3 linked regions of the Neodiprion lecontei genome follow. The protein of the gene in region 1 purifies or fractionates together with the protein of each later gene. This does not show direct contact. Links are inferred from orthologs where the notes say so. Each region holds a gene or a part of one and is shown on either strand. Other genes may lie near its edges. The genes, in order: intraflagellar transport protein 140 homolog, WD repeat-containing protein 19 and intraflagellar transport protein 122 homolog.

Region 1 (10,069 bases):
GCATGAAAATTGTTCATTCTCACATATAAACCAAGCTGAACTGCCAATATGCCACATTTTGCGTCCAAGTTTAAATCGTCGTCTTGCATCGCTTCTCTCAAGGCTCTAGCTCCTCGGGCATGCTTCATATGGCCTAGGCAGAGTGAAGCCATATTCAGCTGTTTGGTTTTGACACACATTCTTGCCAGACTTTTCCAAATGGCTTCATTTTGAATTGTTTTGATCGCTTTGAAGGCTTCGTCCATGTTGGCTATACTTATATAGAAACTAAAATCTAGGATTGCTTTTTTTGTCACCGTATCACATACGCCAAGTTCTTCAAAATCGCGCATTACTATATAACGTACTTTACTCTCATTGTCAAATGTTACTTCTGAATTCAAAATCATTATATGCGGAGTGCGAACTCCCAACAATCTGCAGTTTTCATCTTTTATTGAACGTACATCTTGTACTACAATCCCATGATCTGATGTTGCAAACATTGTTATCAACACAACACTTGTTAATGGTTCCTGGAATCGATATAAATTGCGTTAACTTTACGTAAAATACAAATAACAAACTCGTAATTGTACTAAATAGGAAATTTTAGGATGACACAAATGTTTAACGAATCTTGAATACAGTAGTCGTACCTGAGCAGGGGTGGGTATTATTTGTGATGGAGGTCTTGAGTTCGCAGAATCCAACTTTTGTGCACGGCAAACTAAAAGTCTTGGATCATCATCGTCCCAACAATGAGAAGTCACTAATCGACCTTTGCACTGGATTGCTCTAAGAATAATTACAATAAAATAAGGTAGAAGCTTGAAAAAAAAGCGACTCAGCTCTCTTTGCTATAGTCAGGTGCGACAACTTACGTAGGAGATTCTTCATGCCCATCTTCGGGATCAGCAAAATTATATTCATAGATCTGATCGCTTTCGATATCCCAAACATAAAAAATCGAACTAGGCATTAAATTAGCCATTGCAACAGTGATTGAAACGCATCTGCAGTCAGAGTTGCACCTAGCTTCAATGATTTCGGCAAAATCATCAATCGCTTCAAAAACAGCTTTAGCCCTTGTGTACAATTTGGCTTCTCTCTTGCTCACGTCCCAAATTTTAAGAATCCCATTCAGTGAAGCAACTGTCAGATATCGGCTAGTTAGCTCCATTGTAATTGGTTCACCCTCTTCAGGGGATGTAGGCAGCGTTTGAGTTAGACTGCCTTCTATAGATCTCAGTTGAATGACGAGCGGCGTCAGCACAATTAGAGTACTTTCATAAATCAGTATTTTCTCCGTGTCGCAATTGAAGGATCCGACGAATGTAGTGGATATGGAATTTTCCCTGCTCAATTTATAAACGGCAATTTGTCTCCCAGAAGAAACGGCAACATAATCTTTATTCACCGCTACAACCTGTACCTGCAGGTCAGTTTTCAGAACACAATTTTGACCATGCGTTTCCAGCAGGATTTGCTTGGGTGCCAACTGGCTGGCGCATATATTATCATTGTAAGCAGCGCACATTGGCTGCTGTCGCAAAATGAAAACGTTCGTTATACAATTGACAACCAGAAGAGGATTTCTAAGTATTGTGGCACCCCACGCGAGCTGTTTTACTGTGCCATGAATTGTACAGGATTCTGGAATTGCTGGCCAGCCGTTATCCTCTGCATCTGAAGCATTTTTATGTTTCCAGAGATAAATTGTTCCCAAATTTGTACCAGCTGCTAGGGTTTCTGGAACAAGAATTGAGAATATAGGTCCAAGGAGACAAAGAATTACAAAAAAAATTTGTTATATTTATTAGTTCATTGAATTCAATACCATTATTTTTGCAGTACGATAGACTCGTGCAGATCTCTTGAGGCGTTGCAATGTTTCCATTACTGGTGTCTGGTGGTGATAAGACATAAGTATCTCCGGTATGGAGATCCCAGCATCTGATAGCTAGTTCCCCTGTTAATACAGCCAGAGTATTTGTACCTGCCCAACAAAGAGCAGGACCGGATCGAGACATGTCGGTCTTGCCACTTAGTTTCACCTGAAAGTTGTCAGTTTTTGAAAAATTTTACATCATTTGATAGCGAATAAATTTTGCTACGAGATGAAGAACGATTCCTTACTTTGGTGAGCTCGGTGAGGCGACCAGTGATAGGATCTGCTTGAAAATGCCCAATATTCAGCCCTTCCGTCATCATGACTACAGAGTCTCGCGATTGATGGTGTAGCAAACAATGCAAAGTAGCACCATCCGTGTTCAGTACTTCAATACATTGCCCTTGACTATCAACAAAATATACCACCCCATTCATAGTTCCGATGTAAAAAGCGTGATTATCTCTTTGCGTTGTAACTGCAATGGGAGCTGCCGTTCTTGGTCGCCAAGAACTAAAAAGATCTAACGCCCTTTCGTCACCAGCTACTGCTGCCTTCGCCAGGCCACTATAATATTATAATACCACAGTTATATTCGAGGTAAAGAGTACAGTCACTGCTTTCTTGAGATTACAAGAAACACTAGAAACAAAGTAAATATCTTCAACTTTATGGGAAATAATTGCGTTACATACTTAATATCAATAACTGGCTTCGATGGAACGACTTTGAACGCTATGTGAGTGAAAGAATCTTTTAATTCATGGTGAAACACCATTAGAAGCTGTCCTCTTGGGTCTATTTTCCATCCTATCAAAGAGCCAGCTGTATCAGCGGACACAAGTCGTCCACCATGCTGGCTCCACTCCAATATTGTAATAGGATCTCGATGTGGCGTGACGATAATGTTAAATTCATTCGCCCCAGAATCACCTGGCCAAACCTGAATAACAAGATGAGGGTTTATAATTATTTAAAGCATATTATACTACGGACTGCAATAATAATATTGGCTGGTTTATACCAACCCGAAGTTCCCCACTTTCCCATCCAGCAGCTAGCCAACGTCTATCATGATGCCACCCAATGGCGGTGACTTGGGCGACAGAGTGCGCGGGTGATTCTACATCCTGCAGAGGCTCGCCCAAGTCATCGTAAATTGTAACAAACCCTCCTTTGTCTTGCGAATAAGCAGCGACAGCTAACAGCGGATAGTTCGGATGCCATGCAGCGTATGTACTAATAGAAGCAGTCTCAGGATTTTGTACTCGAGTATCAAAATACAGCGACATTATGAAATGCTCTCCAATTTAATCGTGGCGTTTGAATTACCCAAATCGGCTCAAGGCAAACGAGGGTCTGAAATTATTTCAGTATCAGATGTAACACTAAATGTAAGCATTTTCGTGAAACTACGATAGGTTAGATCACAACCGGCGCCTAATATCGACTGATTCGGTCTAGAAGCTCTGATATCAATGACAAAATTTACGGTTTTTCAAACGTTCTAAGCTCGCTTTGGTTGTTTCTCGATAACGAATTCATAGCAAAATCAATTGTGTATCGATCGTTTGACATTTCGTGTAAACAAACACTTGACGTAGAAATAGTTAGTCAAGTTTTGTTACAATTGAGCACGTATACGGGATTAAAATTCGTTAATTATTCAACAGATCGACAGATTTATTTAGCAGTTTTTTTTTTCTTAAACCAAGAGTTCCCTCGGTTCTTTTTTACTTGATTTTTCTAGAATTCTACTAGTTTCCTATTTGATCGAAAACGCGCATGGCGGATTTTCACTGCAAGGAAGAAAATTTGGGTCATTTGGGTCACCTAACTGTCAACAAGCGATTCATTTAGAATGCATCATACATTTCCCAAAATAAAGAACATTCAACTTATTTAGTTATATGTATTTTAACAAAAATTGCAAATAGTAAATTCTTATTTATGTATGTTGAAGTTTAATTTTTTCCAACCTTTTGAAATATCTTTATATTCATTTACTCGGTGTCGAATTTCAATTTCAGTTAAAATATAGCATTTCGTTTATTATAAAATGTTGATAAGAATTTCACGATACAAACAAATTTACCTTCAAAAATGAATTACAATATCAACCGACGACATTTAAAGTACTTAGGTAAAACACGCGGGCTCTGATTCTAGCACCCTCATTTTCTGAAAGGAATCATAAATTTTCGTAAGCAAACAGGAGAATATATTATTTTATACAAGCGTGAAAATCACTATTACATTTTACCTTGAGATAATTTTGCCTTTGGTTGCCAGCACTCGCATCTGCGGCAGCCAACAGTGATCTGTAACGTTCTTCCAAGCTTTCAACTAGACTGTCTAGCTCGCACTGTTTTTCCGAACTCAGTGACATCGATAATTCACTACGCTGACCCTGGAGTTGTAGCTGCAAGGCTTTAACTTCGTTTTCTTTATCCTGATATGCAAATAATTGTGTAGGCAACTTGTAAAAAATATCTCAAAAGAGGGTAAAATGTATTTCGGAAATAATATGCACCTTTAAAATATGATAAATGCGCTTCTCATATTCATGGCTCATTCGTTCTTTAGTTTTTTCCAATTTTAAAATGCCTTTTTTTAAACTGGCCACTTTATTGATAAGGTTTTGATTCTGCTTTTGATTCGCCGCTTCCATATTTGCCCTCATTTTATTAAATTCGCGCTGGATTGTTGAGCACTGCTCAGTAACAATAGCTTTCAATTTAGCTTCCTGTGAAAAAATACGGTCATTGTGCGGCGTTATTGAAACATAAGAAACGTATGATTCAGATAAAAAATTCATGAACTGCGAACATACTTCATCTTTTTTTGCCTCCAAGTTCTTCTGTAGCCCATCAATCTCCGTTTTCAGTTTTTCAATTTCAGCATTTTTATTTAACTCAATCAATGCCAATTCTTCCTCTTTCCGACTGATCACTGTATCTTTCTTTTGCAGTTCCTCATCCTTCTGTTTGATTAAGTGTTCGTGCTGCTGTCGTGCAGCTTCCAATTTTTCAGAGCAACTACTTTCTACTGCACACAGTTCTTCATCCTTTGATTCAAACATCATGTATACATTGTAGATTTTGAAATAGAACTAGAAATTCTGTTAGCTTGTCACTACTTGCCAACAAAGAGTAATACGCAGTCGTACCTTTGCCCTAGTAATTTTTTCCAAATTGGCAGTCAGCTCAACAATATTATTTTCCAAGGTACTATTCTTACATTGGAATTCTTGCAGTTGCATATTCAACTCTGTAATTTTTTCATCCATACTTTGCTTACATTGCAGGAGGGCTTCCTCATTGCTTGCCTCAAGAGAATCCTTCATTTTTTTTACTTCCATTAGTCTAGAGATGAGAAAATTGATGATTCATATTAGACATAGCTTATTACCGGATTTTGTTACCCACTTGGCTTTCAACGTTCCAATTTCTGCCGATAATTGTTTGATAGTAGCGTGAAGGTGAGGCACTTCCTTTGCAGTAGAATTTTGTTGCAAACGATTTAGTTCTTGATTTAAACGTTCATTTTGTATCTGCAGTTCTTTCACAATAGTGGTCAAGGTCTCTATCCTTTGTTCGTAAATTGCGATTTGATTTTTGTCCGCTTTACTTCCCTCGTAGCATCGAGATGCACTGATATTCTTTGTGATGTGACCGCAACGACCAGTACTGGTCGAATCAGTGTCACGTTTTTGGTTTGGTATTTTACTCCTGGTGAACTGGCATTGAATGCTCTTTGCATAATTCTTTGGCCATCCGCAATATGGGATTGTGCTCGCATCTGATAACTCGCTCCACGAGGAACTTCCGTGTACCTAAATTTCGTTCAAATATTCTTTGTCACACTCTGTTTTAAACCACTTCACTTCAGATACTGTACCATTGGAGTATACGATCTCCTTAACACTGGCAGAGGTCCATTTGGCGGCGGTTGGCTAAACATCCCACCTACATGTCCAGATTCCACTTGACAGCATAGTTCCATCAGATACTCATTCCTGAGTGCACGTTGCGTGGAGGCATAGCTCAGTTTATCCAACCAAAGCCGGCAGAGCTGCACATCTTCAGGCGCTGTGAGGGCTAAAATGTAAGGTCTAACTCGAGCCAAAGAATCCTTGAACTGCTCATCCAGCTTGAGTGCCTCCTGTTCATCGCGTTCCCTTGGTCTGGACATTTCTAATACCTAATACTCCATAAAACATATAAATGTACTCCAAATGATAGGCACTTTTAATTACATTATTTTATCAAATGCTTGAATTAAGCTTAAACTTTCTGAATTCATTTAATTTCTCCAATTTATACATTTTCATATTTTATTGTGTGTTTTCTTGACAGCTAATAAATTAATGTATGAGTATATGAATGTATACATGAATGTATGTATGTATGTACATACATTCGATATTGTCATTGTTTTTCGTATAACCATTACGATATGAAATTAACAGACTAGAATTGAGTTAGTTCACCGAGTATTTGCTACAAGTTTGTGGGCATTTTCGAAAGATTGATCTAAAATTTGACAGACACATCAAAGGATATAAAAAGATTTTAGAAGTTCGAAAGTCTGCCTACTTTTATTCCAGAAAAATATGCAGGTCTAAGATTGACGATATAATTTTGACACCCTTGCATATCGAAATACTGTGCTATCGTTTGTTTATGATTATGTTCAGCAAACTCGGTGGCATATTTCTTAATTACAAATCCAGTTTATTACCCCTCTCATAATTACATGGCACGTTTAATACTTATAATATATCACGTTCAAGCATTGATTCGGCCAGTTTTAATTAATTCTGTACAACTTATTAGCCGCTAAAATTCATTGAATGAATTTGATATTTGGTTGTCTTTTTACTTTGAAGCACCTCAAGTGATTGTGTTGCCCAATTCCAATAAAATTCGTCAAGAGGTACAATTAATCTTCACACCCTGCAGCCGTGTTTCAACTGATTCTCTGCATCTTGTTTTAGTTGTTTCAATCTATTCTTCAGGGGATAAATATGTGTACCAGTCCATTCTTCCAGGGTCGGTTGAAACAAAATAACTTCCATTTGAACTCGGATATAGCCCTCCAGCGATGATAATTCCAACAACAAACTGAAATTTTATGAAAACATAGAGAACTAATACGTCACATCCAAAATACATTGAGTGCTTTCGATTGAACTTAACACCAGTTGGAAAATGTGCACTAAAATACTTAGGCAAACAATACTGACTCGCTCAAAGCCGTCACCAAACTCCCCAATTGCATAGGATTTGTATAGTTGTTTGCAATTTGCCAAGGATTCATCCATGTTGCTATTCTGTTGAGGAATTGGCATATTTTTAGAACAGACCTTGATAATGTACAAGTACAAATATTCTGCCCTTACTGATCGCTATCAACGACATGGTGAAACTTGGTTCTGAAGTTAAGGAACCATTCGATTCCTACTGCAAGCTGCCATCCAGGGAATAACAATTTGTTTGGTATGGGAGCTGGTCGCTGTTGCGGCACTATGTGGAGTGGATGGTCTACATAGCCCAAGCTTTTAGCTACTTCTAGGTGTCTTTCTTCGGAATATCCGTGCAGCCAGACTTTTAAGCACATCACCAGAGATGGTATTGCTGTTGGCAGGAGCTCGCACATTGTGGCATAGTGATCATATCTGAAATACATTACACAGACTGTTCAGCATAATTTTAACTATAGTCTTGGTGGTGAACAAGTAAAGAAAAACAATCGACTGATATTATTCATATATATAGGTGATAATAAAATAAGCAAAACGGCACATGCCTCGACCATCCGGTGAATGCAGTTCCACGGAATTCACAAACTTTGTTGACATGAGTACTCAACTCTTCTAACCATCGTTCGTGGTTACTTATATGATGTTGAATCACGGGTATGTGTTGACAGGATCCGGTAGCACCTTTAAAAGCTGTTGCAGCCCAGATATTTGAAAATATAACACTATATTTGTCCCATAAACCTGAAAGTTGATTACATAAGTGTCTGTGTAATGCTTACAATGTTATTTAACTCACAATAAATAGATTCAAAACATTCAGGAAATTTGCTATCGGCTCTACATACATCATTCGAAAAGTACTAACCTACTGGCAAACAAAAAGTCTCTCTGGAATTATAATGCCATATCATTGGTTCAACATATTTTCCAATATAATGTTCTGAAATGATAAAAGTATATTAAGTAGAGGATATTACACATTGTCTATGCTAAACACAAGATAAACTCAAAGCATGCTAATGATTCTGTAATAGAAGGTTCTGTATTGATGATAATTGGCTTAAAATTTTTCTCATGACGTTGAATACTAACAAACTAGGTAAATAAAGTAGTATTTATATCTTAGATACGTACGCACCATTTAAGACCTGTACGTCTATGTTTCTCAACATATCGTCCCAAATGATAACTTTTAAATACGGATATGTCTCTTGTATATGTTGCGCGACAGCTAAAACATGTTCCAAGAATAACGCGGACTTCCCATGTTTGCTGGAAGTGGCTCTTTTTATACAGACTGAACATAACCCCATGTGCCAGACCTCGTCAGCTCCTATATGCAAATATTGTATGTCAGGATGAAAGGACACTATTTGACGTATCAAAGACTTCACCAGCGGTAATGTAGCTGGGTTTGAAGGACACATCGAACTTGGAAACAGCTCAACTTCTCGTAACGATCGCCACTCATCATGCTTCAATACAAACTGGAAAAGAATATTTTTCAATTGTGCTTATAGTTGAGGCGTAATTAAATTTACACACGGTTGACATATTGTTCAGTTTTTTGAGCCGTAGTTGTTGAATGTTCAGAGCCAATGGCAAAGTAAATATAAAATATTCATACGAATTTTATTACTATGAAATTTTTAAGTACAGCTTTACCTCCATGTGGCCGAAAGTTTGAACCAACGGCACAACTGCTAGCCCAGATTCTCCTGCGATTTGCAATATTTGTCGTGCTTCTTGCATTGTATAGCCGTTGGCTATGCTGTTTGGGCCATTGCTTCCTATTTGAGTCAATTCTCGGTTGTAAGGGAAGGTATCTTCCCATTCTAGCAGCAGTCCTGTAGCACCCCATGATCGCAGCAGCGGAAACAACTGACAAAATAAGAAACGAGTGGATAATATCGCCTCTAGGTTAGATGCAACGATAAATATAAGACGATTATGCGATCATATGTGTAATTAAATTTTTCTCAGTTTTAGTTTCACCCAAAATGAAATATGAGAAAGATGTTTTGTTTAATGAATTAAATCAGCTCAGAGTGCTGGTTGACTTTGCCTTTTACTGGGCAGAATGCGAAAAAAAAGAACAAAGACCTCCTTTTGACAGCTGTCAAAATTAGAAGACGTAAACAAACAAATGCTGCGCATATGTAGGGTATCTGTATATTTCTTGCAATACAGACCTTTTCAAGGTAAGATACTCGGGGTGGAGCGCCCTTGAGGTCAAGGTGAACAAGTCTGAAACATAAGGCTCATAATAATGCAACGAATCATGAATTATCTATGAAATAACTTGCGAAACATTGGATCTATGCCAGAGTTATGTTTACCTGTGCGAACCAAAAGTCAGGGCGTCCATCTTTGAAACATTCGTATCATCATGGAATTATTTTGCAGTCCTTTACTCTGTCCGCATAGTTAAACCAATCATCAAATTTTTACGCGTGTCAGCATAATTATCAAATTTCGTTTTATTCCTGTTCATTTCGCGGCTCAAATGATTGAACGCGATATTCAGCTGAAAACATCGGGAATAACCACGTGGTGAACAGTGGTGAACAACGTCGTTGATGACGTGTTCAATTCAAGTGTCAAGCTGAGTACTTTCAGCGCCAGTTTTATCTGTGATTCAAATTAGCGTGGCGGTAAATTTGTTTTCTGATATTCTACAATCAGTCAGCTTTCCTGTTCAACTTTATTACGTAGTAGATATTGCGAAAATAAGCAAAACCTACTACATAGTAAACTTGAGTTTCGTACAATTCGGATTACTATCAAATTATAACAGGTTGTTTATTTTGGACAAAATTAGAAATATTTCTAATTCTAAAATCACCTGCAATGTATGTGTACTTTAATTCATTTTTTATCCAAGCTCATATTTCGAATAACTAGTATGCAAAAAAACTGCACAATTAAGTTTA
Region 2 (9,941 bases), on another chromosome or scaffold:
GTAATCCGTCACCACCTAACAAAAAGTCTATAAGTTGATTTGCTAATTTTTCATCTTTTGATGATGCTACAGTATCTATTGATAATGTAAGAGCTGCGTCGTCATCAGCTGCTAGTTGAGCAGCTTTTAGCAAATGTTTTAAGGCCTAAAATATAAAAAGTTATACTCAGATTGGAACGCACAATAAAGTGTGTTTACAAATGAACAAATTAGACATATCAATTGACAAAAAAAAGACAGAAAAATTCTTAATCATACCTTCTGATATTCCTTCGCATGAAAATAATACTTCCCAGCTAATAAACTATTTCTTTGTGATTCAAAATGAATCGCAAGGCTTTTGAAATCTTCTATTCTGACATTGTCATTGTCAAGTGTGGTAACTAAAATATCTCCGTAGAGTTCCATTTTTCCATGTTGATTTGCCAGCTGGAAAGCCTCGTCGTGACAGTTAGAAAGAATCAGAAATTTAATGGCAGAATTATAGTCGTTCATCCTTTGAAAAAATCTGGCTACCATTTTAGCACCTTCAATACTCTTTGTCTGTTGAACAATTTCAACGCTTCTAGCTGCAAATTCATGATATTGCATTACTATCAGTCAATTCTTATTTAATAATTAAGATGATACACAAATATTACCAGGATTATTCAAATGGTCCAAGTTGATTCTAATTATATTATCAAAATCCTTTGCAGTTTCATATGCCTTTGCAGCTTCTTCATATTTTCCTTCAAGTTCTTTAGCTTTAGCAAATTGAATGTGAATTTTCGGAGATGATATTTGCGGCAAAAGTTGACCAACCTTGTGCCAGTTTTTTAGTTTTATATATGCTGAAGCAGCTTTATCAAAATATTCGGATTTTTCATACAAAACTGCAGCTTCACTGAATTGCTATAATTATAAAAAGGCTTCGTATAAACATTAATGAGTTGAAAGCTAAAATCCAAACATACTATAGAATAGGGTAATGTGAAAAATACCTTCATTATTTCTAAAATTTCTGCACACTCTTTTCTTAGAGACCGTGGACTGTCCACATCCATGGCTATGCTGACACCTTTTCTACTGTCTCCACATCTTATAGACATTCTTGCGATGCCCGCAAGACATTGACTCCTATGATTGATATTTTGAAAGGCCAAAGTCGACTGAATGTTACTATCGACCAATCCTCGTTCATAATTAGCTAAAGCTTTTGGATAATTCCCTCTGCAATAATAAATCTGAACAGGTTACGTCCCACAGCGTATCTGACAATTATCTTTGTTCTACTTAAAAGACTTTCAATTGCTGAAATTTATGATAGTCATTTATGTTGTTATATGGATCAGCTATGGCATGTACCACGTGGAATTTCAAAAAGACCTACGTAAATTCCAATTGCTGAGCATATTCTCTAGCTATAAATGGAATCTCTTCTGGCTTTAATTTCTGTGCTAAATTGAGAGCTTGTTCCCATTGCATCAAATCTCTTCGTAAATTCAAAGCTTCAACCGGTTGGGAGGAGCGTAAGAAGAACTTTTCAGCTTGATTGTAGTCCCCCAGTAAGGTTGATGTGTGGCCGCATAATAATGCAAGTTCATCTATGTTCTCTAACTTTTGCAGGGACCACACAGTTGACACATCTTCTACGTGTCTATAAACTCGTAATGCTGGAAACGATTATCATTGAATACAGAACAATTCTACCACTCATTATACCGTTTCATTTCAAACGGGAAAACTATGTTTAATGAGTAATGATATTTCTGTCCATAAGAAATTAATGAAAATCTAAGATTTCGGTAGAGACGTCGTATGTCTTGCATATATATGCACGGCTGACAAAATAATTCTACAAATGCAGAACCAATATACAAAATAATTTGTTGATTTGCTACAAAATAAGGCTCTATGTGAATATAAATATGACTTGAGCTCACCAAATTCTATGTTCAAATTAGACAATGCACTTGTTCCCAAAGATTGCCAGCATTCACGATCATTCAATTTGACACATGCGTCCCAGGCATGTTTGAACCTACTCAAAAAAAGAATAGTCACTTCGCTGTGAAGGTTCTAAAAACTCGAGAATAGATATATAGATGTACAATGCAAACCTTCTACATGCGAGGTGATTTGCTAAAATTTCTTCTATTCTTTTCGTATCAACAATATTACCGATTTCTTCGTGTGATGATAACGTTAGTTGCGTTAATCTACTACCAGCTGTACTTAATGTTACTTCACCAGAATACATCAGCATTGGTAAAGTTTCCACAGGTAATTTTGTTTGAGAGACTTTCACTACTTTGCTTCCTGAAAAATAATAACGTTGTTCGTATAATATTGTTATTTTGCAAACTTGGAACAAGTGAATAGGGAGAGTGCTAGTTAATCTCTCAATCGAAATTTTCAATAGTCAAGTTAGTCGAACTTTGCCTAACAGAGTTGATGGTGGGTTGAGCAATTCGAAGAATATCGCAAAATTGATTTTCGAAACTTAAAAAACGAGAAACCAGACTAAATAGCTGCATTGCAATGACAGTAAGAATGGATCAGGTGTTTTTGTACCTTTGCAGTTTCTAGATCTAGAAAAAGTTGAAACGACTGCAGACATTAAAAACTTGAATTCTATAAAGGGATATAATTTCTTTTCAACGAATTTAAAAGGTCTCAGGCTATACGTTAAATATTTTCCGAATTTGAATTTGAAAAACAGTTTACATATTTTCGTTCCTGTTCCTATTGTAAAACCTGTAAAGGTATCGCTTCACCATACCAAACTAAATACAATAGTTTTCAATGTGTCACGTTGTTGTTGAACTTGTGTGAATTGCTTGCCGCTACTCTCAACTTCACTGCAAGTGCTAAACCATGTCCCTGAGGCACTCTTTTACGCTCTGACATCTTCATGGCTGGTGTCAACCATTTTAATAATTATGCATACCTTCTATATGATATTTCACAAAAATATAAGTGACGATAATGGATTGATTGTATACTGCGAATACGCCACGCTCAAAAATATTTTGATCCCATATAATGCCTTCTATTGAGTCTGGACATTCTGGTATTTGAATAATGTTTTCGTTTATCGGATCGTAAACATATGCATCATATTTTTCATCTACAAAAGACAGCTGTGTTCCATTCGCATCTAGATAAATTTGTTTGATCCCACTATTGTGTGTGACTTCGCTAGATTGATCAAACGCCTCCAAGTAGAAATATACTATCCGTCCCATCTGTAAAACATGTCATTTAATTAGTAGATCGAATCGATTTTTGAAAAACTCGAAAAATATGGTTTATTGAGTATGTAAAATTACGCATTTATATTTGAGTCTTCTATAAAGTCTTACATCATTTCCGTAAACTAAAAAGTCGGGCGACAAAGCATGGCACGTTATTTTAGAATCCAAAGTGTTAGTTTGTGGAAATATTTTTGATTCAGTTGCACCGTTTGCCGAGTCCTGTTCCGTTTCTATCTGAAATAAAACCGCCAAGATTTTAATTCTTTATCTCTTACATTTTGCATACACAATGTAAACTCACAGTGTGTAATTGAAGCTTTCCATCAAACAGAACGGAAACAAAAGTTTGATTCAGGCATATACTCTCGACTGTCCCTAAGTAATCCCTTTCAAAATGTACAGGGTGATCATAATTGAATTTTGTTAAATTCCAAAATAATACTCTGTTATTCAAAGCTGCTGCTAAATGCAAAGGACCGACAGCCATTACAGATGGTTCTATCAGGGTATTGATTGTCTGCGGTGTTGGTTTACTCTGAAAATATTCATTTGTGTCATTATTTCCATATTCGGATAATAATATATCTATGAATATTTCGTAACGTCACATTTATTTTAAGCATGGTTATACTGATACAAACTGGATATGAAATACCAGATGGGGAGCTACAGGTGTGTAATTTCTTTTTAAAACATCCTAATCTTACCCAATCAACTTTGGTACTTAACATAAAATTGTACAAATAATTGGATTGAATCCCTTTTTTTGTCATTGTTAATATATTTTTCAGCTTATTTTTGCACCCAATTATTAACCATATTATTTGCACACAGTTTACGTACCTTATCAAGCATATATAAATGTACAACCACTTCAGTCAGGCTTGTTAAAATGGCAATTCTATTTCCACATACGCTGGTTATTTTTGGTAATTGCAATAAATAAATTAAAATGTTTCCATTGTGCGTCGCGGCGGCTAACATACTACCATCGGATGACCATTCCACGTGACTGATGCCTGTCTCTCCTGCCAAAGTTATCACTTTATTGGTTTCTTCTAAATTTTGTATACTGTGTACTTTCAACGTATTGTCGCCACATGTTACAAGTTTTCCAGCGATATTGTTCAGTGCAATATCATTTAAAGAATCTCGATGATTTTTGATTTGAAATAACTCTTGTCCAACTTCTTTGATATGCGTTGATATTGCTATTAGAAAGCCAGCCTCGAAACCAACCAATATGTAACCATCGCCATACCTGATTCACATTTTATAAAATACGCGATATAGATATTAAATTTTTTCGTTTTCTGTGATCAAATACCAGATATATTGTAGTAACGTATGCATTTTTCATAATGAACTCACCACTTGTGAGTTACGATTTGACCATAGCGCTTTTGAAACGCCAATTCAATGGGATTGTCTGGATCCAAAACATTGTATAAAAATAATGTAGTTTTGCTGACGACGAGCGATACCTGTTAAATAATACGGTTGATTATTAATTGCTTCGTACTTTTAATTGCTCGTTTTACCAATATCATACATACATCAATTAATTTTACTGCTATGAGCAATTTTCACCTGATTTTTTTTATCAATAACTGAAGATATGATTCAACAATTGAATTACAAATCACCCACCTTCTGTACCCCAAGAATAAACTAAATTTCACAGTTTCTTAAATAGATTTGAGAGACACGAATCTTATAAAGGGATCAGGTTGTGATAAAAGCATTCTAATATAAAATCGAGTCTTTTTTAACTAATAATTTCTTTGAAATTGTATATCAAATAGATAGCATACTGTGTTTTCACCGCCGATTCTCTGGTCCATTTTCATTTCACTAAATTGAAGGTCGGATGGCTCTCCTTGTATTGTTATTTCCCTACGTGTATCACCTTCGCACGTACTGATCGATAATACCTTATCTTCACTTGCCAAAGCAAGGAGGCCCTCCAATGACCAAGCGCCGCAAACAATTTTCTTTTTGTGCTTACCTAGAATAGGAATGCGTCTGAAAAAGAAAATTTGATATATCTGTAACATCTTATCAATATAAATTGGAAATGAGAGAATGTTTTCCTATCCATAAAGTTTTAAATCATCGAGGGTGTGCAATATAATTGGAAAGCTATCTATATACTGATAATGACTGTTCTATTTTATGTAGAAAAGGTCACGCACTTAGCATTAATATGATCGTAAAGCGCTAGGTTTCCTTTTTGCGTACCCACTGCAAGAGTGCAGTTCTTTTTCGACCAAATCATGCAAGTTAAACTATCTCTTAGTCCCGTGTCTATTTGGGATTTTTTTCCTGTCGTTGCATCCCACAAGGTAATAGCAGATGATCCGTTTGAAATCATAGCCAATAAATCTCCGTCGGCATCCCAACCCATGCCCGTACATAAACCAGGTAGTTGAATACGGTCTTGTATTTCCCCTTGGCGGTTGTATATCACAACTGCGGAATCGCAACCAGTTGTAGCTAAATATGTACCGTTGCCAGGGCGCCAAGCAATGTACACGTTTCCAGGACCATGCGGTTGGTCCAAGCGGTATAAAACCTGTGCACAGAAGTAATCGATTCAATTCACAATACGCAGAGATGAGAAAGAACTGTTTTACTGTGAGATGTCGCCAATATACATAAATTTTGTTTACGAACTCGAAAGCAAAAATAGATATCACGATTTGCGGACACACACAAAGCTAGTGTAAACTAAAGTGAGTTGTGTACACGTAAAACTCAAGTAAGAGAACTGATATGAGAATAAAAATTTGGAACTTTGGTGGAAAAATAGTGACTAGATATAGAAAGCATTAAAAACTCAGGTGCTAATTTTACAGTTAATTTTCAATTTGCAAACATCTATACTTGACAATCGATGGATTAAGAAAAAAAACACAATATTCAGGTGATTTTAAAAAACATATTTTACCTCATCAAGAAATGTTTAGGTAACAGCACAGGGGTGAGAATTTGTAATTAAAATGTATATAAATGAAGCTCTTCATTATCTGCTTGAAGCGTATTGTTGAGCTTTAGTTTTAATTAAGTAACGTAATAGTTTGATGTTTGACATTAATTCATAACCTACCTTATCTGATGCCATTCTTGCAAAATGGCAAACAACTTGAATCTTTACTAATAACTAATACATGGGACAGAAGTCATGATTGTTTATGTTAGCATCAACTCATTACACTGATATCGATTTATTTGACACATTTTCAAACTGAATGTCACTACAATCTCCATGTTGTTTATTACGTATCGCGTTTGGACGCGTCGCATGCAAGGCCGCAAACAGGGAGATCGAGATTTAAACTAGCGTGTGAAACTGTATAGGTGTGTTTCTGCCACGGTGTAAGAATAAGAGGTGGTCCGGTGTTGAGCTCTGTGGTTATTATGTCTTAGTACGACGGAAATCCGCCAGGGACCTCATGCGTCGGTGAGGATGAGGTAAACAATAATGGCGGCGATCTAACAGACAGTATTCACGAAAGTTTGACGTTTGCATGTGGAAAATCAAAACTGCTGCTGAAGATTACACGAATACATTAATATTTAACAAAATAAAATAATTTTATGATGAATGTATGTGACTATAGAATATAGGGTCCTAGATCACGCCTTCGGAACGCCGTAAAGAGATTTCGTATTTACGCCAAGTAGCACTAACATCTGGCATCTCATTTAATCTCATTCGAATGTATTTGATTCAGCACGGCCACATTCGAAACAAACGGTTTTCGAAATAGATATTTGGCCTGAAACCTTGCTAAAAATCTAGAATTTTTTTAATTCGTTTAATTTCATGTACGGATTGTGCAAATAAACAGTTTTAAATGAATTTTTGTTCAAGATGTTCTGTGCAGATTAGTTATTTCTTTGAACGATCTTGAAACTTTTGCCAAAATCTCATGAAGACATTATTCTTTGAGAATGACTAAATTTGTTTGAATTTTAGTAAGAACCCATTTTTAGAGAGGGCTGACATCGATGAGCGTTTCAGATACGACTTTTATTATGGTATTGCTGGAACTTTACAGAAATATTATTCTTTCAAACATTTGCTGTTAAATTTCAGCACTTTTTTGACAATGTCCATCATGTTCCATCTTAGGGTGGATTGTAATGCAATTATACTTTCAGTTCTCACAATATATGATATATACATTTGAAACGGTCGTTAAATTTTCCCTTTATCAATGATATGCGATTGTGATCATATTTTTCCTATAATGCAAGACTTATAGATCATCCTTTCTATTGAACACTGATGAATTGCTATTTTAGCACATTGGATTACATACTATTGCTCAAATATGTTGATTACTCGATAATTCAGTGATAATGAGGATTCGATGAAAGGGGAAGGCTTAATTTTATTCTACGTACTTTTGACTTCTCGATCGTACTTTTATTATATGATTTAATTCAATCACTTATTGATAGTGAGTTTGTGAAAGAAGAAAATCATCTATAGGTACAATAATTAGGTATATTATCATTTGAATTTGTTATTGATCGTGTCTACATGTTACAAATGAATGCAATACACAATTTTGATATTATTCAATAATACGGCAGTAAATACTTGATATACAATATGCAACGCGTTTATGCAACAATTAATAATTCTACATGTTACTCAAAGCTGAAGGGATAGTAAATACTCTCAACAAATTGGTATACAGACTATGAAGATAACTTCTGAGTAGAAATAGGTCCAAGTGCATACTCTAATTATCGTTAGAATTGGTATCATCGACAGACACACTGGTACCTTTTGATCCGAAAGTACGTTTTCCCGTTTTGCAATTATTTGTTTTATTTCATATCACATGAGAGATGGAATTATTGTAGTTTTATTATTTCAATAATTTATCTTCACGCATAATCCAAACTCGATATTGGAACAGGAATATCTTAGAAATTGAGTATCTAATGCGGATTTTTTATTGATTTCATCCAGCGAAGTAAAAATTATAATGTTTCACAAATTATGATTGCACACAATATATCAGTACAGTACAATGATTCATGATCAATTACAGAGAGTAATGTATAACATCTTTGGTTAACTAAAAGAAATAAAAAATTATATACTAAAATCGTATGGTGAGATACCATCTTATAGAGTTTTATATGGATATTATAATTTGCGCGGTGACCATGAAATGACAACCCTAACATTGTGATCTATGATACAAATACAGTGAGACACTTTTTCACATATTAAGAATACATACCTAAGTATATTGCAATGGAACCTGAGGCTACAAAATTCTGATGCCGTTTTCAGCTTTGTTTCAATATTACTTCAAGTCGATCACACTATCTTTGAACTAACAAAAACAATTCTACCCTGCGTATTTAGAAACTTGTGGTAAAATTGAAACAGTTTCAAAACTTCGATTTGATTCCAATTCAGAATTTTGAGTTCAGGCTACCATCACGCATTTATTCAATAAATATAGTATGTATGTGTATATATATATATATATATATATATATTAATATATACACATATATACATATATATATATTAATTTTATTAAATAATTATTCACTTTGTCACTGTATAGTTTAACGCTGAAACAGCGACAATTAAGCTCGTGCAAAGAAAACTTAACTTAACGTAGTAAGCACTTTGCTGGAAAATAAAATAATCCTTTTTAAATACATGAGATTCTTTCGTATTTACAAATTTATTTCGTCTAAAATATAATTCAAATCCATGCAATCAGGGTCAAATAACTCGATGCATGCTTAATATCTTGGCAGTTGGCAGATTCACTGTATCAAAATTGAATTTTGTACATATATAATTTTTTGGGTATTATAGCAAGTGTATTTCATTCCTTGGTCGATTTTTTCATCTATCTCGTTTCACTCATTTCAAACATAGAAATTACAGGAGTGCTAAAAAATGGTGCAATAACAGCAGTTATAAAGTAAATATACGAGATAGATATTTACACTCACCCGTGGTTCTGATTCTAGCTTCCTGCCAACCACCTATTTATTCAAATTTTCATAAATTAACATTTAACTTCGTGTTTTATATTGTGAAAGTTTCGCCAACTTCGTTCCATGTAAGTTAGACTTGAGAAAGAACAAAATATGACGTGTACTAACTATGGCACCCCAACAGAATACAACTGCTATGGAAAATTATTAGAAACTATATATTTATCAGATATAGAGTATAGTTAATATTGATTAATATGGCACCAATGGTCAGTTTAGCAATATTTGAAGTGAATTATAGTCTGCTGGCTAATTAACTAAGAAAAAAAAAGAACATTAGACAACAAAATAAAACGGAACCACCTAAATTTTTCATACAACTCACATTAAAGTATTAAAAATGTCTTGACTCTAACAATATGTGAACTCTGCATGGTTTTCACTTAAGAGTTAACTTCTCAGTTTATTTGATACACTTTTTTTTACTGTTAAATGTTATTTTTTTGTTTTTTTTTTTTTTCAAAAATGAAGGCCACTCAATTCAGAAACTACTGCAAGCTACAGATTTGCTGGTAAAAATCTACAATACTTTAAATTGCTTAGTTATATAATAATATTACTTATCATTATTTATTTTTTTTTTCTGTGTCTTTTTTCATATTGTTTGGAATAACTGCGCAGAGTAAAAATTTAGGATTTTCACATCAAGTATCG
Region 3 (13,160 bases), about 6.1 Mb from region 1:
TGGACAAGCTATTTGTTGATAGTCTAGAATAAATCCTCTGTTTAGAACATCACCAGTTTCATCTCCGTTTGTAATGACGTAAAGAACAAACGGTTTTGAAGAACCTATAAAAAAAAAAGCGCTCTTATGAGTATCAATATAGCAAAAAATCTTTATTTCGTAACCAATCCTTTAATAGTATGAATTGACGAAAATGCGACATTCTATTCTACCATAATTTGGGTGACGATACTTACTGATAACAGTTACGAAACCGTTTCCACAGAAACGATCAACATCTAATGCGGTACCTGTTGTATCAAATGGATTTGGTATTATAACAAAATCTGCCGTACAATCTGTTCCAGTAACTGCAGCCAAGTCTGTCCCTGTTGAATGATGAAAGTTGAAGTTACTGCGTTGTGTACAGATTTTTTCTTTTGAAAAACTTACCAATTATTGTTGTGTCAAGACCGTCTGTATCTCCAGAAACAGTGAATGACAGGGTGTTGTCCTGTGACCATTGAATCGCACAATAGCCCACAGTCATTCTCACACAAACACCGTAATTCAAATTCACTAGTTGACGAGTACCGACCAGTGGAGCTGAAATTTTGAAGTGTTAAAAATCGCTGATTTTACAGTGAACGAGAATTATTTCAATAACGAAATAGTATGATATTTTACTTACATCTTGGATTCACTACGGTACCGTAATTGAAGCTTGTTACAGTGCCAGTAGTTGTAGTATAATATTGCAGACATCCACTCGGAGCTGAAATGAAATGTATGTAATAATGCTCAACTATTTTCATGTGATTTGAAAAGAATATTGGCAAATACTGTGATACGTACCACGCCATACAGAATCGCAGGCTATCTGCTGTATCCTGATATTCCAACGGCGATCAAATACGTAGTTCACGTCAGTATCGATCGATATCGTAATAGGAGCTGGTCCATCGAAATCTACATAAACTGTAGACAGAATAATAAATATTTTAGTATCTAGCTTAAGTATGCATATTTTTCGAATTTTTGCACGTGATAAATGTCAAATAAAGACTCAACATTTTTTTCACATTAAACTATACCGTGTTGATTGGTATTTTCTCCACAAATCCTGGGAACGAGGGTTGCTCCACCAGTTACTGTCAAAAAGTCTAAGTCACACACACCAGTTCCGTCTGGTTGGGCTAGGGAGAAATCCAAGAAATCCAAACGCAACTATGTGCAGTAGAAACCATTGTTTAAATATCTGAGATGATAAGGTCATTAAAGTTTTTGCAATGCATTCCTGCTCACCTGACAAATATGAGAATTGCAGGGACGAACGACAATTGTGCATCGATCTCCACCAGTATACGTTGTTGGATAATCGGGATTTATGAAATACGTATTGTTCATGTTCGTAGTAGAACCGCATGTTCTCACAACTGTGAAACGATATTATTTAATTTAAAAATGGGGAATTTCATCAAGAATCATAAGAGAAGCGAAGCATCTGTGGTATATGAAGAAAGCGCCAAAATCATTTTTTTATAGAATTTCTTTGCTCTAAACATTTATTAAAGTCAAAAGTTAACATCTTATCCTTCTGTCTACTTTTATTAAACTCATTATCGAAATATTAACGTACAATCTGCTACGAATATCACCCTAGGACAGATGCACAACACTTGATTGATTTAAAAAATTTCAGAGCACTTTTTCACGCTTTTGTCTAATCCAATCTGACGGATAGTGATCAGTTAAGGAATTTATTGTTATACTTACAAACACAACAAACGCCGAGGTTGTTGGCACAAGTCCCAGAAGCAGTCCCGGCGTAATTGGAACATTCACGTCTTGTAAAGCACGTACCATTCAGATTATTGCTTCCAGTACATTGAGTATTAGCAAATCTGATGACACTGAAGAGCGGAAAAACTATACGAAACAATAAAATAACGTGAATACATTAGTATCGACGTGATTGTATCACTTTTTGGGGTAAAATTATCCCTGAGAGATGAAACTCAACTATGTAATGATCGAACTTACATTTTCCTTGACGCTCCAATGGAGCATCTTGAAATGTCGTTGCATCTCCCAGGGATTGATCCCAGGCAGCACTCTGACCAGATGCTATCGTTGCGACGGCAAAAATCACTGCAAGCAACACGCTGAACATCTTTACAGTTCCGTACAACTGATTGAAAAGGTAGGATATCACTCGCCACTATGAGATCTCGGTAACGGAGTGCTGTTTACTTAGCTGTTGGAGCAATTATCATGTGCTTGATAATTTCCAACAACTGTAATTTCTTTCTTGGATAACTGTGACTATACTTATTTTACCGCTAGGTATACGTTTACTTATTCATTCTATAACTATTACTGAATTTTTCAATACTATGATATATTACTGTGAACTGGTCATTGACGTTATCAAACAATAAATAGCGTGATATGCATAATTGTTTAAAATTTATAACAACAAAGGGAGCTGAAATTAATTTGCTAACAGTCGATAAATAAATAGATTGATCATTTCTTTATTCCTATGAGGTGTGACTTGTTTTCTATAGATATTCCTTTTCACGTTGCGTGTCTTGTAATTTGTTCTGCTCTAGGTAACTGTGAACTTCTACAGAACGGACAGTGGCCGTGACGCAATATTGCCAATTCGTAGTCATCTGAATGGAATAACTGAAAAATCATAAACACACTTCTCGTTATATTAATTACAATACTTCTTCAAAGCATCTTTAGTGGCTCGTAAGAATTCGGGCACTAACAAATAAGCCCCAAGTTAACGGTACCTTTAAACATGATTTGCACAAAGTTATTTGAAGATCCGGCAAAAGATTTCTGAAATATCTGGTCTTGAAGGGTTTTGGCCAGTGTGCAATTAGTACGCTGGACGGTTCTATACTTGCTAAAACACCTCGACCAACGGTAATTCTTGATTCGCCTGTCTTATCCTGCGAACATTGAAAATTTGTGTAATATTTCTGAAAAATAATTGCAGCTACGAACGACAAGAGAGTATATATATAAATTGTTTGTAGAATTGTGATATATACCTCGTATCGTATCAAGCGAGCTGTAAACAGGTCGCCAACGGGCGTAGGTATGGTGAGTTGATTATCACTGATCAAAGAACTATCAGAGAGAGGTCTTGGCTCTTCGATTAATCTTTTGGCTTCTTCGTCAGTGATTCCTTCTTCCAACTCAAATTCAACTATAGGTAATATTTCTGGATAGGCAAGAGGTATTCACATTAAATAAGAAGAATATTGCGCTGACGGAATGAATATACAAAATAATAATCGACGATTTCTAGTGGAATTGGTCTCTCTGTTTATTTCCCCCATCTACAGTTTGAAAGTATTTACGAATAAAGTATCCTTTTGACTTGAACTTACCAAACATGACGAATGAATGCTGAAATTTAAGTCCGCACTGAACACATTTATTTCCAAAAATGTTGTTGGAAGGTAGAAGTGAATTGAAGGTAGAACAGCGGTAGCAAAGAGGTAGGAGTTCTTCAGGATCGCTGTAAGGATAAGCCCTAGCTGCCAAAGTTGAGACCTCCACTTGCGATAATAGACTTGCAGGAATTTTCATACCCCGTAATCGCTCAAAGAGCTGTGTTACCAATTTATGGGCACCGAGAATACGCGCTTGCTTAATCAGTGTATAAGTTATGGTGAACTGTGATACTCCTTCGACTTGTATATCTTGAGTTTTCATTAGCAAAAATCGAGATATATTGAACAAAGCCTCCGGCATCAATGAGGTGAATGGTTCTTCCTGAAACATGAAGGTATAACATTGTAAGAAGACATCCTACGATTATTGTACTGATTAGTCATCAACAAATGAATTACAACTCACCAAATATTTGTAAACTTCGTTATATGCGTAGTAAATATCAGCTTTATCATAATATATTTGAAAAGTTGCCATTATTTCGTCGGTACGCTTGCTCAAATCGAGGCTGAGTTGTGAAAGGATCCAATAGAAGTACGAAGCATCGCGGAATCTTTTTTCAGCCACAGCATTTTTGGCTAACAGTGTGAGAACAGATATCGATTCCTCAGGTTGACCAGCCATTTGAAATGCTGCCCATATAAAATCAGTTGAAATATTTAATTATTAACGAGAAATCAAACAGAGAACAATTTCGTATCGTACCTTCTTGAGCTTCAGAAAAACGACCAGTTTCAGCTAACCATCTTGCATATGGTCCATATACGCGAGATTTTAGTTTTGGATTTCTTTCCGCCAGTTCGAACGCCTCAGGCCATGCTTGTGCGTCTATCAAAACATCAGCGACGTCAGGATCATCTCCTAATCGACTGAATATTTCAGCAGCGCCATGCGTCGCGCCTAACTGTCTCAGTTTTTTAGCTATCATAGACAAACTGTCTCTCTCGGCCTTATCCAGTTGTCTTCCAACTTTGATGAGCCTGAATTGTTAAGATCAATGTATAAGAAAAGAAAATTGTTGGACTTTAAATTAGGCAGCTAATACACACATGTCGATCCAACCATATTCAGCAATGATATTAATGGCTCGTTGAACATCTCCAGCAGTGAGGAACATTTCTGCAGCTGCTCGAGGTTCTCCCAAACTTTTTGCCCACTCAGCTCTTCGCCTCAGTAAAATTGTTCGGTCCTGAGATGTAGACATAAGATCATTGGCTAAAATTCCTAAATTTTGTAAAATGAGATTAGAGCAAAAAAAATTAAAATTGTCTTTCATGTACCTGAGTGTTACCACTGGTGATAAATTCTTGAGCTATATCAAACATTCTCAAATCTGAATACATATTAAGAGCGTATTGTTGAAGTCCAGCTTTCTGATACAGTCTTGCAGCTTCTCGAAGTTTTCCCATTGCCGCGGCCGCAGTAGCCATGCAAGCTTCTCGACCCCATTCCCCAGAATTCAATTTTTCCTCAACTTCAGAAACGATATCGATATAACGTAATTTTTTAATACGCGAAAACGCCGCGTATGCTACGTTCAGTTCTAAGTGATCCAGAGCAGCAGTCCCCAAAGCGAGCCAATCACCTTCAGCTACGCCTAAACAAGCTATTGCAAAAGCTTCTTTAAACATTCCTCTTTCTAGGTACTGATACATAGATGATGACATTGGTACCTGAAATTCATTGTCATCTTTAGTCACTGTTACTAGTTTAGCCTAACAAGTTAAAAAGAGGTTTTGCGAGTTACATATTTGGAACCATACCTCTACCGTCAGTATCGCCGCTCCGTTTAAACAGTACAACTTGGACCCATTATGCCCAACAACAAAGCCGGAAAATTTTTGTTTGTATTCGTTAAAATCAGCGACTTTTACAGCCAAGTAATCGTTCCCTGAGTAGCACATCATATCCTCAAACACGGAATTGAATGCAACGCTTGTAACATCTTGGATTTCTCGTAATATTTCTTCTGTATTTAGATCAAACACCGTAAGCAAACCCGTGTCGCTTACTACGGCTAACTTTTCTTTGAGTGGGCTAATATCTAGACAGTGTATAGCACCTTCAACTTTTGCCAGCTGAGCTGGAAACGGATTGTCGAGATATATCTTTGAAACGTATCCGGTTTTCAATCCTGAAATATAATATTGACAAGTTTATTATTCATTATTAATTACTGTTAGGCTAATATCAATCTGGTAAGCGTAAAAATGAATTCAACCTGCAATGATGCATTCTTGACCTGATGGACCACCGGCGACTTTTATATAGGTAATAACGCCATCGAGAATCCACTCTCTTTCAATAATACCAGTAAAAGTTAGGCTCTGCAGTCGTTTGTCTAGGCACAGTACCAAATGGTTTGTGGTTACAACTAACAAATTGCAATTCAAGGACTGAGGAAGTTTGTCCCTGATGCGATAGTGCATTCCCTCGCTGTTTCCCGAAGGTTCATATATGATCACTCGTTCAGGTAATTGCACAGCGAGTCTATCTCGATAAACTGCAATTCTACAGACCTGAAATAACAATCGTGCAATTTCATTCGATCCAGGTTGGAGACGTAGGAATAATGAAAAAAACTTGAAGTACGGCTTACCAAATCTTTGCACTTAATTCGAACTTTTTGATTTGTAACCAGGTGCTGGATTATAACATCAGTCATATTTTCTCGATATGCATATCGGTCTCCGTACAAGCCGTGAACAGTATTCCAGGACAATTGAGAATACGTTATTGTTCCATCTTGACAACCAATGGCCTGGGACACAAAAGATGTTAGCCACTGTAAATCTATTTGCAAATTTCAATGGGATTGAGAAATAGAATTGAACGCACGACGTGTGAGGATCCTGGATGAACGGCGCAACTCCATACCCAGGATGAAAAAGTATCACCAATCGAAGCCAGCTGAATGCCGTCATGGGTCATTAATAAACAGCGTTTATTGCTGCCAGCTACAAGAATGTATTGTCCGTCAGGAAAGTAGGCTACATTCAGTGGAATGAAATTCAGCGACCTGTCCCTGCTCACTGTTTTTCCAGCCAGAGTGTAGAAGGAAAGACCGCCGCCCCAATCAGCGACGCATAACACGTCCACAGAATCGTCCCTGTTGTCGGTAAAAATAAAATTGACACTTCCAATGATTCTTTAGTGAGAAGAATGTTCCAGAAATATTTCAGCTTACTTCAATGGGCTCCAAGACAAACTCCAGATTGGCGTTCCCCCTGCACGATCAATTCGAGTCTTTTCTTCTCCGTTCTGGAAACAATCTTTCAACATTATTACGTTTCAATTAAAAATCTGAGATAATTAATGGACGAACCTTATTTCTGATAGAAACATATCCCAGCGCAAGTCCAATGGCCAAGTACTGTCCATCCTTTGTCCAAGCACAGCAATTTACTCTTCCTCCAGACTTCAGCTTCTGCACAGCCTTCTGTTCAGTGGACCAAAATGCGATGTCGGAAAGTGCACAGCTGAGCAACTGGTGCGAGACAGGATTAAATTGCATCGCTTGAACAGCTTCACTATGGCTAAAAAATTTGCTTTGCATTATTCATTGGCACATACAAAGGCTTACGTAAAAACGAACCGGCGTAAAAAGCTTTAGTAATGTCTTACGAGTATTTTAATATTCCTTCGAGCTTGGAAGTCCATATAATAACGCTTTTGTCTGCACTACCAGACGCAAACTTCTTTCCATCTCTCGCGTAGCAAACGCAATAGACGACATCTTTGTGTCCTAAAATGTAGATTTGAATTAATCGTGATTTGTAATCTAGTTTAGTTGACTAATTAAAATGCTGCACAATCTGGTATAATAGTGGAAAAGGAAGGGCATGATCTGTGTTATATTGAGCAATAAATTATAGGGATAATATACCTTTGAGTGGTTGTACAAGCGCACCATCATTGGTTTCGTAGACAAGGACTTGACTGCCAGCAGCGACTATTAATTGGGTTCCATCTGGGTTGAAGCAGAGATCATAGATGCTGAAATAAATTTGGGAACAATCAATTCAATAATGAGGATTAAGAAAGAAGAAGGAAAAACTGTTTATGAATGCGTTTGCATGTGGAAAATACTATGCAAACTTTGGTTTTCATTTGAATGCTGTATACACAAGAGTATGCATACAGATTAAACAAACTTTGCATATAACAGTGAAATACTGAGATACCTCATAATTGTTTGTTCAATTGTTTGCCGTGTATATAAATTTATGCTGTTATTGATCACTTACCATTGGTCTGTTTTATCTTGAACTTTATCAACCCATGTAGGATGAGATCTCATTTTAATAACTTCAGTGTAATAAAAAGGATGCCTCTATTCTCTAATTCGTTCACTAGCAATGAATTTAGCAGCCTATTGTCATTGTAATTTAGGTTCAAGAACCGTTAACCACTTGAGTCTACCCAAATGCATATATACATTGCTATTTACGTCTAATAAGCGCACGCTACTGGGTCGAATCAGTAGTTTGTTTTGATTTTTGACACTTCGCAAATTAAACCGGTTACCGGGGCAACGTGATCCAGATTTCTGTGGCGTTCTAACCTCACTCTACAATACTAGTCTCAAAGTCTCAACATTTATGAGGTTGAACTTAGTAACGTTGCTTTAACGATGCATGTTTACTTCGCACCCTTAGGATTGACTGAAATTCAGCTATTAAATCATAACAAATAAAATATGTTCATATACTGAAAAGTCAACTCCTTGAAAGTCGTTCTAAAATTGTACTACGATTTATTCCATGATGTTTTTTTACGTTAACGTTACTAACTTCAGACCTGTCAACATTTATGGACTCAACCTTAACCTAACAGAAATTAGTCGGGTTAGGTTAGGAAATTTCACGTGCCACATGCCGAATTCTACAAATACGACGCCTTCTCAGCTTACTCGATTATTAATATCACTTAGCACTGATTTAGCTGTAAGAAATGAAAAGATACTTATTATACATGAATTATATTGGCACCCACTTCAGGTACGCGTCTTTTATACAAGATTTAGTATATTTTGTTGTATATTACAGTCTTGCTTTATACTAATATTATAACAGTAGGTAAAATTTAGTCGAACCTAATTAATTTGTTTAATTTTCACACAATATACATGAACAATTGCAGTGGAATGCAAAGACAAGAGTCCATACGCACAATTCAAGGCACTATTGAAGAAGCATTGGCCGACTCCATTAAACCCCGAAGTCTATCTGAACCAATTCTTCAAGTTTCCAGCAGGTTTTAATTGCTGCTTATATGTTGTAAACATATTCATAATATGAGTATTAAAGAAATCGATGGGGCGGTTGAAAATTGAGTATAATCGAACACGGCTCAAGAATTTCCTAATTTTTACACCCACTGCAATTCTCACAGAACCGATAGCGGCGTTCATGCTCTGTCAACAACAGCCCACATCGACTTGATTCATCCAAAGAACGAGTCATACAATACGCAATATATGAAGCACAGACTAAATAAGACTTTTGCTAAGAATGGTCATGCGATCAGGTCAGTGTATTTATTAACTGTTATGCAAATCTTGGTCAACATTGTATCGATCTAAAATTTATTTACCTGTTTCAAAGACACGTATCAAATTTAACGACCCAGAATCACTTCCTGTTACCAAGTCAGCACAGACTTTCATGCCAGACATTCAGCCAAGTCTCGATCATATTTGTATCGTCTCATGGTTCCTAAGAAAGAATGTTATCAGGATATACCAGTCAGTGAGCTGTATCGATGTTTTGCACTTCTTGGGTACGCAACTATAACAGATTTTTATCCAAAAATTACTTATCAGTAAATTTCAGCTGTATAATAAAATACTATTGTCCGTTTTCAGTAATACTGGTCCCTTCGATGCGGAACGAGTAAAAAGGGGAACTCAGCTTTTCCTCGGACCTAAAGATTTTCAAACATTTGCTGGAAAAATAAAGAACAAGTATCAAAATAAAAAGGTTGTTTATGTCCGGCAACTTGATTACTTCACTGTGGAGAAGGGTCAGCCTTTAATGATTGATGATCCCCTTTCCACACAGTTCGATTACTGGGATTTCAGGTGTGGGGGTAGAGCTTTTCTTTATAATCAGGTAATGATCATCATTTGTATGGGTCAGACAATCGAACACTACGTTCCCCTATCTTGTCCTATTTTCATAATAATAATTAATATGGCTCTTTCAATATTTAACTTGGCAGGTTCGTCGAATGGTCGGAACCCTGATCACACTAGGACTAGGAAAAATTACGGAAAGAGATATTAGGTGTATGTTACAAGTTCCGTCACGTCATAACTGGGACTCGCGTGTTCAAGTATTGCCACCGTACGCTCTCTATTTATGCGAGGTAGGCTACGACCCGTTGGACTTAAAAAAGAATATTATTTGCGAAGATCAATCATCTGTAGCTGTTAATTAACTGAACATCATTTTACGTAGTGATAGTCGATATTTTACATTTTTTACCTAAATAATAAAAAATTTAAATAGCAGTTAACAATCACTAATTCTTAAAAGTGGTGATAGTTACGTTGCTGCTGTTTAATTAATCCTCCGTCATGAGTCTGAGCTCCCTTTTAACAGCTAAGAAAAAGGAGCTAAAACACTGTAATACTGTAGTAACTAACATGCTGGGTGAAAAGTACGAAATTTTAGGAAGCGAGATGAGATTAGTAGACAAAGGACTACCATTCATCGTTGATACAAAACCCGATCTACAAATGGCTATGGTGGAGCCTGGTTTATACTTTGGCTCTCAAGATCCAGCAGCTGATATAAATATATTAGAAAACCATGGGATACGGCACATTATAAGTATTGGTATAAAGCTGGAAATTGTATTTAAAGATATTCATTATTACTTTATAGATTTGATGGATATTCCGGAAGCTAAAATTTCAGAGGCATTAAAAACCTGCCTGAGAATAATGCGTGAAAAAGGAGGTCAGGGCGTTTTTATACACTGTAACGCGGGTGTATCTCGATCAGCTTCCGTTGTGATAGGTTATTTAATGGTTAAAAAAAATCTATCATACGATCAAGCTTATCAGGAGGTGAAATCTGTTAGGGAATGCATAAGGCCAAATGACGGATTTGTCAAGCAATTGAAAGTTTTGGAATTCTCTGATTTTACATCATTGTTGTAGCGAGTGGTAAATAATGTGGATATTCTCTTACAAGTCTAAATTTGCTGTAACTATAGAAAGAAACAATGCATGAATTTTCGTAATTATTGTATTATTGAAATATGCTGTGTTTGTACAGCCAAAAATAGTCGATATTATTAATACACATTAAACGCAAATGGATTCACAAAACTTGAGCATTTGTTAAACAAAAATATTATCCAATCCAGAAATCTCTTAAGAACAGAAAAAAAATCAACACAAGTCACCGTTCTCCGCACGTAATATTTATCAAAATTGAATGAATTTCGTATGTTTATTACCACGCCTTTTTTCGGCTATATGCTACATAATTCACTTTTAATATTTGCAGACTTTTCTAATTTCACTTGGACGGTTTGTTTCTTTATGTCACACACGCCTATCGTTTGTATATTAAATATCAAATGTAAATTCAGTAAGAATAAAACGACCAAATTATGCGACAGAATCTGAATAGTACCTTCCTATTGTGAATTTCAAAGCAAAGCGCTTCGCGCGGAAATCAAGCCTCGTCCTCGTGTTTATCGAATTGCCGTCGCCCTTAGGACCAGGCGCATGTATGTCTACCTATAGGTATTGGTCTGAAACCAAATCTTACTTCTTGTTTATTAAAAAAAAAAGTAATTTTTCATTCATAGCTGCCTATATAATGATTGGCTAAAAATTAAATGAGCCATTTTATTAATTGAATGTGTATGTATAGTACGTATGTATGTATGCAATATTTATACGTATATATAGTTAATATATGCATTATGCATTGATAAAACGTGCATTAATTAAGATTGTTGATTCCAAGTAGACTTTTTATAAAAGTTGCTGAAAATCTGAAAAATATAGTAGTAAAAATTTCAGTGTGCTGTGTTTGGTAATTCTTTAATCGATGATTATTAGCTGTCATTTTTTTTTTGCTCGTCTCTTGACAGTGGTATATATGCAATATTCATCTGGTTACACATGGTTAATCATACAATGATTATTATCAATATCATATACATAAACCTAATATTCACATTCCTCCAACAATTGAAAATGAGCTGTCTTTGAAGAAAGTAGACAAGGCACTTGAACCGAATAGTTTTCTTAACTAGTTGGCCTCATACATTGGTATATGTGATTTTGCATATCATACACCAAAGTTGAATGTTATTGTTGTTGTTGTTGTAAAACAAAATTGAATAAATAAAAATTCACACACTGAACAGTATCGTATACTCTATTTGAATGTAGAGTAATTACTTATTTGTTAACAACGCCAGTTACAACCGGACACATCTTGTTATAATAGTTAGTTTGGGTTGTCAATCAATTACTAAATTGAAAGGTCTTATAAAGATTATGTTCCCAAAGCAGTTTTCGTATTTTTAAAGTGATCCGTATTGGAGAAAATCCTTGCTTTTCATATCAACATAGAAGTTACTCAAATCGACAATACAGGATATGAGTTATATATATATATATATATATAACTTTTTTCTTCCGTGCCTTTTTACGTCTCATTGTTGTAAGGATAACACTCATATTATAAAAAATTATTATTTTTTTCAGTATACATTAATACTATTAAAAAATCTCGATTAACGTCGTGCTAATAAACTATTTTAACTAAGCGTAAATTTGTAAATTCCGAAAAGCAAGCAATTGAAAGTGTGCCTTCTTGTTCTTTTAGAACAGTATATGTGTACGCGGATTATAATCGCTAATATTCTACAATAGATTCAGTATATATTGTATAGGAACATGTTCTTTAAACTGACCTAATTCATTTTCAGAAATTTTCCATTAATTTTCTTCGTTTAACATTTAGCAGTTAATATCAATGTCTGGCTTTGCTAGCCAATTTCATTATAACGTCCAACACAGAAATTGGAATTTATATACAAAAAGCTATAAATAAATAAACAAAATATTATGCTTGGCTAATTAATAGATTTTCAAAATTGAAAAAAAAAAACAAAAGTAAAATAATAATTAGCCATCACGGTGTTTGATCCGTCTAGAATCGACAAATCTGAAGAATATACAGTACGCAAATTAATTCCTATGAAGCCACAGTCTTAAGTACAATATATCTGAACCTACAACGCATGTCGTCTGGATGAAAAAAAAATGTTCGGTTCAAAGTGAAATCACCCCCAAACATACTACATTATAAATAACCTGATTTCTAGTATAGTATGTCACGGTGTGTTATAACTTTTTTTTTTCTTTCGACCATTATTACGCGTTGCAGTTACAGATACATAAATACGTCAGTTTGAACTGTAAATATAAACATGTCGTCGTACATTGTGTAGTAAACCAGTGTCAAAGTCCAAGAGAGTGGCCAGGTCGTATGCAGCAGCATCAGTAATGGAACAGGGAACCACCCAGCAGCAGTGTTACCCTTGTCGTTTGTCAGAGGAAAGTTACCTTAAAATTCATTAGCTTATAAAGTCGACCGATATTTATTAGAAGATTTCTTCTACTCTACTCTAGCGCTTAGCCCCCCAAGGACCAGATGGGGCAGACGCAG

The links.
Region 2: the proteins of intraflagellar transport protein 140 homolog (region 1) and WD repeat-containing protein 19 purify together in Homo sapiens (co-immunoprecipitation; 3 studies listed by BioGRID and IntAct, with this or other methods). This does not show direct contact. The link is inferred for Neodiprion lecontei from reciprocal best matches to the Homo sapiens genes IFT140 and WDR19.
Region 3: the proteins of intraflagellar transport protein 140 homolog (region 1) and intraflagellar transport protein 122 homolog purify together in Homo sapiens (affinity purification with mass spectrometry; 4 studies listed by BioGRID and IntAct, counting the BioPlex papers as one, with this or other methods). This does not show direct contact. The link is inferred for Neodiprion lecontei from reciprocal best matches to the Homo sapiens genes IFT140 and IFT122.

What each region holds. Positions count from the first base shown.
Region 1 is NC_060261.1:8,580,142-8,590,210, reverse strand, and holds the start of intraflagellar transport protein 140 homolog, read right to left. Parts: upstream 6,193-10,069; 5' UTR 6,065-6,192; coding exon 5,771-6,064; intron 5,706-5,770; coding exon 5,299-5,705; intron 5,236-5,298; coding exon 5,040-5,235; intron 4,938-5,039; coding exon 4,704-4,937; intron 4,617-4,703; coding exon 4,404-4,616; intron 4,323-4,403; coding exon 4,134-4,322; intron 2,814-4,133; coding exon 2,566-2,813; intron 2,438-2,565; coding exon 2,119-2,437; intron 2,037-2,118; coding exon 1,820-2,036; intron 1,732-1,819; coding exon 864-1,731; intron 778-863; coding exon 639-777; intron 516-638; coding exon 24-515; intron 1-23. Other genes in the region: hexosaminidase D, read right to left, coding at 6,822-6,996, 7,119-7,205, 7,275-7,550, 7,682-7,877, 8,002-8,076, 8,275-8,623, 8,802-9,017, 9,329-9,383 and 1 more. UniProt on the Homo sapiens protein: Component of the IFT complex A (IFT-A), a complex required for retrograde ciliary transport and entry into cilia of G protein-coupled receptors (GPCRs).
Region 2 is NC_060265.1:8,948,566-8,958,506, reverse strand, and holds the start of WD repeat-containing protein 19, read right to left. Parts: upstream 6,575-9,941; 5' UTR 6,364-6,574; coding exon 6,349-6,363; intron 5,815-6,348; coding exon 5,435-5,814; intron 5,265-5,434; coding exon 5,054-5,264; intron 4,724-5,053; coding exon 4,611-4,723; intron 4,501-4,610; coding exon 4,083-4,500; intron 3,775-4,082; coding exon 3,541-3,774; intron 3,474-3,540; coding exon 3,348-3,473; intron 3,231-3,347; coding exon 2,933-3,230; intron 2,302-2,932; coding exon 2,103-2,301; intron 2,024-2,102; coding exon 1,926-2,023; intron 1,656-1,925; coding exon 1,373-1,655; intron 1,213-1,372; coding exon 984-1,212; intron 895-983; coding exon 642-894; intron 570-641; coding exon 259-569; intron 146-258; coding exon 1-145. UniProt on the Homo sapiens protein: As component of the IFT complex A (IFT-A), a complex required for retrograde ciliary transport and entry into cilia of G protein-coupled receptors (GPCRs), it is involved in cilia function and/or assembly.
Region 3 is NC_060261.1:2,453,609-2,466,768, reverse strand, and holds intraflagellar transport protein 122 homolog, read right to left. Parts: upstream 8,136-13,160; 5' UTR 7,757-8,135; coding exon 7,704-7,756; intron 7,453-7,703; coding exon 7,343-7,452; intron 7,202-7,342; coding exon 7,081-7,201; intron 6,993-7,080; coding exon 6,782-6,992; intron 6,718-6,781; coding exon 6,644-6,717; intron 6,566-6,643; coding exon 6,295-6,565; intron 6,218-6,294; coding exon 6,056-6,217; intron 5,976-6,055; coding exon 5,678-5,975; intron 5,591-5,677; coding exon 5,220-5,590; intron 5,130-5,219; coding exon 4,737-5,129; intron 4,646-4,736; coding exon 4,506-4,645; intron 4,437-4,505; coding exon 4,162-4,436; intron 4,089-4,161; coding exon 3,862-4,088; intron 3,778-3,861; coding exon 3,390-3,777; intron 3,221-3,389; coding exon 3,048-3,220; intron 2,946-3,047; coding exon 2,784-2,945; intron 2,671-2,783; coding exon 2,560-2,670; 3' UTR 2,529-2,559; downstream 1-2,528. Other genes in the region: uncharacterized protein LOC107221624, read right to left, coding at 1-104, 237-368, 433-585, 671-754, 835-957, 1,074-1,206, 1,285-1,415, 1,756-1,908 and 1 more; tRNA pseudouridine synthase A, read left to right, coding at 8,410-8,456, 8,599-8,712, 8,851-8,985, 9,088-9,237, 9,323-9,569, 9,679-9,897; vigilin, read right to left, coding at 13,120-13,160. UniProt on the Homo sapiens protein: As a component of the IFT complex A (IFT-A), a complex required for retrograde ciliary transport and entry into cilia of G protein-coupled receptors (GPCRs), it is required in ciliogenesis and ciliary protein trafficking.